Rattus norvegicus: one gene and its partner. Each later gene encodes a partner of the first gene's protein in a complex. Links are inferred from orthologs where the notes say so. Each region holds a gene or a part of one and is shown on either strand. Other genes may lie near its edges. The genes, in order: Bach1 and Fbxo22.

Region 1 (3,812 bases):
TCTTAAGAGGTATTTGAACTCTGACTCTTACCTTGGAACCTAAGTAACTATTTTATTCTACAAACAGAAATGTCTGGGATTTAACAACCTGGAGCCACCCACCCACTCACTCACCAGCTTCTCAATTTCTGACTCAAGGTTCTGGATGCAGTCGAGCTTCCTCTTGCGACAGCGCTGGGCAGCGATCCTGTTCTTGCTCCTCCTGCGGATGTCATGGATACAGTCCAGCTGCTCTGGGGTCAGTTTGTGCATTTTCAACAAGGACTGGAAATCATTTCGTGAGAGCGAAATTATTCGTTGAGCATTGAAAGGCAGTTTCACCTAGAATGTGAAATAAACATTAGGGGCTACTGCAGTGAAGACAGGCCCTGCACATGAGCTAACGTGTGCACGGGGAGACACACATTTCATTTTCAGAGACGTTAGCACATTACAAATCACACAGACCTTGGGTCAGAGGAACGGTTCAGGGGTGTGGTGCGCTACTGCCCTGCAGAAGAGTTGAGGTCTATGTCTAACACCCATGTTAGGCATTTCACAAATGACTGTGACCCCAGCTCCAGGGGCCCAACACCTCTGCTCTTTGTGGACACCACCACACATACAAGCACACAGGGACACACCCACACACCTAAGTCAAATAAATCCCTAAAAGACTGTTCTTCCATTCCTACATAATCTACCCCGATAAGAACTAACAATAACAGCCCACCTGACACTCCTGGCCCGGGAGAGCATTCAAAAGTCAAACACTGCGGCAAACCAGACACACCAGCCAAAGAGTAATACATCTACAAGTTTACTACTGTATGTTAATATTTTAGTAGTTAGTATGTTAACAACTTCTTTAAGTTTCTGCCTAAAGTATTTTTAATATGTGTTCTTCATTTCCCCAAATGAATTCCATCTTGTCTTTGAGTATTACCACATAGCAAAGACACTACACTATACTGGTGTGAAGTATGCTAATCATGTCTATAGCACTTTAAGAAATTTCTTTTCTGTCAAAAATTTAGTTTCATATGACTTATTTAAAAAGCTATATCTCACTTGCCAATGGAGAAAGTATTAGAACAAATTAGGAACATTTTTTCCTAGAATAGTTTTTGGTCTGTGTGTTTTGGTGGTCCAGTGACTGAACCCAGGGCCTTAAATCCATCTCCTCCCAGGAAAGGCAGCCTCCTCTGACTAATCCATCCAATTGCTGCGAAGGAAAAGACGGTGATGAAGAACAGAACATGGGGGAATGGGTCCTGATACACGGGTGGCAGGAAGCAGTGCCGATGCCATGAAAACCAGCATCAAGTTCTCAGGAAGACTGAAGGTAGTTAGTACTCCTACCCCCAGGTACCTGTCCAAACGAACTGAATTCAGACCTCAAAGTGGCGTGGCGTCTGCCTTTCTACACGCACTGCTGTGCTCACACTGACAGCAGCCCAGGCAGAGAGACCGTCTGAGCCCCACACAAAGGGGAGTGGACAGAGGAAATGTGGTCAGCCTTATGGAAAGACGAGCTGCGGTCTGAAGAGCATTACAGCAAGCAAAATCAACCGAACTCCACAGAATGAACCTCCATTGCTTTCCCTATTACAGGCGATAACTAAAACAGGAAAGCCAACAGCGACAGAAGAGTGGTGGGTCAGGCTCTGGGAGATGGGGCAGGGGAGGGGCATCGGTGTCCAGTGAGTCTCAATGACAAAAACAAGTTATAGAGATACACCACGCAGGTACAATGAGCAGAGCTAAAAGTGCCATGCGGGACACTTCATAGACGGGCCTCGTGTTATCACAGGTTTCATAAAAAGATAAAAGAGTATGGCTGAAAAGTAGTTATAAAAACAAAGTGAAAACTTCCAGTGTAAAGAGAAAACTGACTTTTAAAAACAAAAGAATCCTTATTTCTAGTGCACGGACCTCTACTTTCTATCACTGAATCACTTCTCACAGAAAGCAAGCAGTACGTACAAACTTCTATACACTGAACGCGCACACGCAGACCAAGCTTGACACGGTTAATATGTCAGTAGCTACATGTAACTCATGCTAAATTATTAGGATACTCATTAAACAAATACTTAACATGGCTAAAGAAAAACAAAACAAAATAATACATAAGCTCAATAGCTATGAAAATCAATTCTGAGAAAGCTTTCCCTACAGGCCACAATCCTGCAGCTATTCACAGCCAACCATGGCCCACATCCCAGACTGGTCTCAGGTTTGTCAACCCGGGGGCTACAGGTACCACAGACTAAGGGATGCTCTTGTTTAACAGTTACCATTGGGGAAAGACCTGCTGCCCCTTCTCCCTACTGGGACATGTGATTACAAGGTACTCAAGCCTGTGTTGAGGTCTCCATGATTAATACGCACAGCAATGTGCGATGCATGCACACAGCCCGTCTCACCGCTCTGGAACTCGTCACACAGTCCGTCTGTCCCTCCCTCCCACTCACCTCACAGTCCTGCTCCCTGGCAGAACAGGACTCGCTGTCGCCTTCCGTGTCGGTCTCCGAGTCATCTCCCAAACTGATCACACAAGCATACGGGCAAGGCTCCTGCTGAGGCTCTGCGACGTAATCATAGTTTCCAATTTCCAAGTTGCTTGAGCAGCCTTCAGAACTCAGAGTACTAATAAAAGGGCAGTTGACGGAACTGAGAGTTGTGAAAGTCCGCTGGCCTGGCTCCGGGCTCTCGCTGATCCTGATACCCAACCAGGGACACTCAGATCGCCTTTGAGAGTAGCCCTGTTCTGAGCCATCTTTGGCCACAGCGGATGACAACTGCATTTGGCAAGGCGAGTCCGTGCTGCAAATGTCACTCCAGAAGCCTTTGGCCAGGTGCTCTGCCACCTCTCGCTCCACACTACTCCGATCCTCGGACGCAAGGCTGCTGCTGTCTTCTTTGGGTCCCATGTTAGACTTCAGGTATAATTCCTGATTTTCCAATGGCTTCTCGTCCTGGGCATCTGGACCCAACAGAGGCTTTTCTGTTTTCACTGTTTTACTCTGCAGCCCAGGAAAGCCCACATCGCCTGACTGCTCGTATGTGTGTAGGACCGACAGGGAATAGAGCCCGTGAGGTCCAGCAGAATCCTGGGACAAAGCAGTCACTTCAGCCTGCTCTGCAGGACACTGAGGGGCGGGGTCTTTGCACTTTGTGTCTTCCCTCTCCATGGCTGGCTTCATCCCTTCACATTTTAAGATCACTTGTAAATCTGCACAGCCCTGCGCTCCCCCTAAACACTCAAGTTCAGATGTCTCCTTTGGATGGACAGAGGCAGCATGAACATCTCTGACGCCGGATTCAAGAGTTCGGATCTTGTCGGTTCCAAATGCTTTCTGGAACTTTCTATATTTGGGGCATAAAGATGGCAGTGCCAGGGCTCCGTCCTTGTCCACGCACATGGACTGGCACGTCGGACCGACACTGTCTTGGAGATGGGGGGATGCTCTTACATTGCCCTGACATCTTTGGGAGTCACAATGAGAAGTCTGAGCACTTTTCTTTTCAAAGAATTCATCTGCTTCATCAATTTCTAGATCTTTCTGTTCTGAAAATGAAAATTTAAAATCTGCTTTCTGACAGTGTGAGGAGAAGCACTTTTTTCTTGCACATCCCTGCTGCTCTGAGGTGGAGTCCAAAAACTTAAACTTGAGAAACTGAAAGCAGGATTCCTCGATATTGTGTACGCTTAGAAACTCCACACACTTGCAGACTTCGTCAACATTGTCTTTACTTAAAATGAGTTTGGCAGTGTAGGCAAACTGAATTAAAGGTTCAAATCCTTTAACTGTTACCTGTTAATACAC
Region 2 (3,812 bases), on another chromosome or scaffold:
CAGATCCCAAGGCTGCTTAAGGGCCAAGTGTAATCTCTGTCTTCTCTCAGCCAATCGCCAGGAGGGAAAATGTCCTCCTACCTCCCCAGATTAGGAAAGACCTGCAGCCAGTCCAGTCTGGTCAGCTCAGCCCCTCTTGTTTCTTGCGGGTAGGAGCGACTGAGAGGGACAGGTTTGTGGGCCTTACCTGCAGGCTTGTTTCTCCGCACGTTGCCAGCATGGCACGTTTGCCTTCGGTATTTGTATTGTTTCCTGTTGATGTAGTGATGGTACAGTGGTTAGGACACACGGATTAGGATTCCAGCTGTATCACTTAGGACTTACTTTGGACAGTTTACCGACATCCATGAGGCTTCAGTTTCTTCGTCGGTAAAATTGGAAGCTGACCCCAGTATCTCTGGAGGACTGTGAAGATGCAGTGATGTAACATATCCTTGGCATTTAGAACTAACCATGCAGCAAGAAGGTGTTAGTCCGCTATTGCTATTTTCTGGAGCCTAAACAGCCTTGCAGGTGGCTCGGCTGGTGAAATGCCTGCTACACAAGCATGAAGACCCTTGCCACCCTTGTCCCCACACAAGTGTCCTGAAGGATTTTGTTTGTATTTCCGAGTCTTGCGCAGTGAAACACAAAGGGTTCCAAGTGTTTGCAGCTGAGTAGGGGCTGTAGCTGCTCACACACTCATAAAGCAATAGCCGTGGCAATGGTTTTCTTCCAAGGTTTGAATTGGCATTAAGTGGCCGGTAGCCTTTTTATCATTGCTGGTTATGGTGGATGCTCATGTTGGGTTGTAGCTCGTGCCTCACATCTTAGTCTGTCCTTTGCATCCACTGTGGCTTCTCCAGACACAGTGAGTTCCTCCTGTTTGAGTTTTCTGTTACAGGAGTGGGGGCAGGAAAGAAAGGATCAGCCGTGGCTAGCAGGCCTGTGCTCCCTGGCGAGTCAGTGGCAGTTGCAGCTTTCCCTTAGTTGCTGCCCTGTCCTGAAGTAGCTTTGACTTTGTGCTACTTTAAGTCCTCATGATCTTGTTAGGGGCAAATATTAAATACCATTTCAATGCTCCAGCCAGAGTGTGGCTTCTGCTGTTTGCTGGACCCTCTCCAAGCTGGTTGTGGTGATCTAAATAAGAATGGCCCCCATAGCTTCCTGAAATGCTGGGTCTCCATGGAGAGGACCTGTTTGAAAGGATTACAGAGGATTACAAGGTGTGGCCTTGTTGGAGCAAGTTTGTCCTTGGGGATGGGCTTTTACATTTCACAAGCCCATACGAGCCCCAGTCCCCGAGCCCCAGTCCCCGTCTGTTCCTGTGGGTCTGGGTGTAGCTCCCAGCTGCCTCTCCAGCTCCTGCCTGTCGGCCACCATGCTCCCATCCCTGATGAAGACAGGCTAAGCCTTGGAAACTGAACAAGCCCCCAGTTAAATGTCTCCTTTTATGAAAGTTGCTTTGGTCATAGTGTCACTCCACAGCAGTATAACAGTGACTAAGGATGGTCTTTGAGGCTGGTAGTTTCTTTGTTGTTTCCTGACAACCCCTCCCAGAAATCTTCTGACTTGTGTGGCTAGGTTTGCCTGTCAGTGTCATGGTGCCTGTCCTCTTTTTTGTATTTTAGCTCTCACACAATATAAATAAATGTGGTTTTGAGGTTCATTTATGTTACAGTTCTCAGCAATTCCTTTAAAATGTGTTTGTGTGGGTGCCTGTGAGAGTGTGTGTCTGTCTGTCTGTCTGCATGAAGAGATCAGAAGCTGTCAAGTATCTTTCTCAGTTCTTTGATGCAGGGCCTCCCACTGACCTTGGGCTCACTGTTCAAGCTAGGCTTCCTCCATTGTCTGACCTTTGCTTGCTTGCGGTTAGGTGTGTGGGGGGGGGGCTTCCAGACTCTGGTCTTCACGCCTATATAGCAGACACTTTACCAGACTGAGCCATGTCCCAGCCCTTCGTTTAGGCATTTTGAGTCATTCTGTGATAAAAGGGACGAGATTTATTTTCTCATTCTGCTTTTCATAGACTGGTTTTCTGCTCCTAGGTTATCATGAACAAGGATGTTACTTTTGTGTAAGTTATAAGTTTCCTTGGAACTTAAGAAGTGAACTTATTGGTTTTTAGCACTGATACATATTTAACTCAAAAAGAAACTGCTAGTTTTCCAAATTTCTACCATGCCATACTCAGCGACAGGGTCTGAGGTTGCAGTTGCTCTGTGTCCCTGGTACTCGGGTCACGGCCTCTGAGTAACAGCCAGCGTAGGTGTGAGGATGACTCTGATGACCAGCTGCGCTGAGTACCTCTGTGTGCTTACTAGGTACTTGTTTGTGGACCTGTGACGAGGCTGGCTCAGTCTGCTGTAGTTTTAATTCAGACCATCCTGCATCTTCTCACAGGGATAGACTGTTAGGATTCCCTCCTCGCCTTTATTGGAGTAGCTCGTTTGCTGTTGCAATAAAATACTTGGCAAACACAATCTGGGTTGAACTTGCTTAGCTCACAGTTCAAGGGTGCATCCTGGTAGGGAGTCATGTGAGAGGCTTGAGAAAGCCGATCACACTGTCCTTACTCACGGAGCCCACCCAGCGTGACTGCTCCAGCTTGGCTGCAGGACTCCAGGCTCTGGGATGGTGCTGCCCAAGTTCAAGGTCTGACTTAACCTAATCTAGATCCTTCACACACTGCCCAGAGCGATGGTGGCTGTAAATCCTGTCGGGTTAACTAACCAGACACCACCACAAGCCTTATCGTAAACTCACATTTTTCTTTCATGTTTTAAGTTCACAGTATATCGTGTGGTTGTTTTCTTCTGTGTTTTTCTTTGAATATTTCCTACCCCGATTTGAGTTTAGAAACTTAACACTTAAAAAGGATTTATGTGTTTGACCTTTGGCCTGCATGTGTATCCGGGCACCACATGCATGCCTGATGCTCATGGACACCAGAAGAGGGTGTCAGCTCTGGAGCTAGAGTTAGACTGAGAACTGGAACAAGGTCTTCTGAAGAGCAGCAGTTCCTTTCATCTGGACTCAGCGACTGCTCGATTTGGATGCTTTGGTTTGTAAAGCTTCCTTTCTGAACACACCTGAAAGAGTATGGCAGGCATTGCCACCCTGAAGTTGCCAGAGAGCTGTGCCTCTGGGAGCAGCTGTTTGCCAGCCTAAGCTGCAGTTAGGATGCGATGGGCTGATACCACGTCTGGTTTCTATGAGATGTCCTTATGAAACTCTTTTTCTCCCTAGTGACTCCAATGGGATCAGGTAGCAATCGGCCTCAGGAAATAGAAATTGGAGAATCTGGTTTTGCTTTATTATTCCCTCAAATTGAAGGAATAAAAATTCAACCCTTTCATTTTATTAAGGACCCCAAGAATTTAACTCTCGAAAGACATCAACTTACTGAAGTGGGTAAGTTATTGTTATTTACTAGTTGATTTACGTAGTTTGAGACAAGGTCTATATAGTTCTGGCTACCCTTGCTCTCAGAGATCCCCCTACGTCTGCCTCCTGAGTGCTGGGTTTAAAAGTGCATGCTGTACACCCCACCCGCATTGTTATTTACTCTTACTTGCTCATTTTGTTGATTAACTTGCTCTGTTTTAGTTCTGGTCAGCTAGAAGCTTCTAGGCTACTGTTGACAAGGCTGTTCATGATTGGTAGAATTGATTTCAAATGATTTTATTTGTCGTGAAGTCCTAAATGTCCAGAGATAAACATTTTTATAAGCGTCCTGCCAATAAGCTTGTATAAGTGTTTTATTTGCACGTTGGTAAGTGTATGTAGCATGTGTGTGTCTGCTGCCCATGGAGAGCAGAAAAGGCCATCAG

The links.
Region 2: the proteins of Bach1 (region 1) and Fbxo22 are in contact, whole or in part, in a cryo-EM structure (PDB 8S7D), measured with the Homo sapiens proteins. The link is inferred for Rattus norvegicus from reciprocal best matches to the Homo sapiens genes BACH1 and FBXO22. Residues at the interface, in NP_001177.1 of Homo sapiens: Ser7, Val8, Phe9, Ala10, Tyr11, Glu12, Ser13, Ser14, Val15; in NP_671717.1 of Homo sapiens: Asp366, Gly371, Asn372, Phe373, Ile374, Leu375, Arg376, Lys377, Cys378.

What each region holds. Positions count from the first base shown.
Region 1 is NC_086029.1:40,446,056-40,449,867, reverse strand, and holds part of Bach1 (transcription regulator protein BACH1), read right to left. Parts: intron 3,801-3,812; coding exon 2,457-3,800; intron 322-2,456; coding exon 115-321; intron 1-114. UniProt on the Homo sapiens protein: Transcriptional regulator that acts as a repressor or activator, depending on the context. Binds to NF-E2 DNA binding sites. Plays important roles in coordinating transcription activation and repression by MAFK.
Region 2 is NC_086026.1:64,482,520-64,486,331, forward strand, and holds part of Fbxo22 (F-box only protein 22), read left to right. Parts: intron 1-1,039; exon of another isoform or gene 1,040-1,175; intron 1,176-3,228; coding exon 3,229-3,393; intron 3,394-3,812. UniProt on the Homo sapiens protein: Substrate-recognition component of the SCF (SKP1-CUL1-F-box protein)-type E3 ubiquitin ligase complex that is implicated in the control of various cellular processes such as cell cycle control, transcriptional regulation, DNA damage repair, and apoptosis.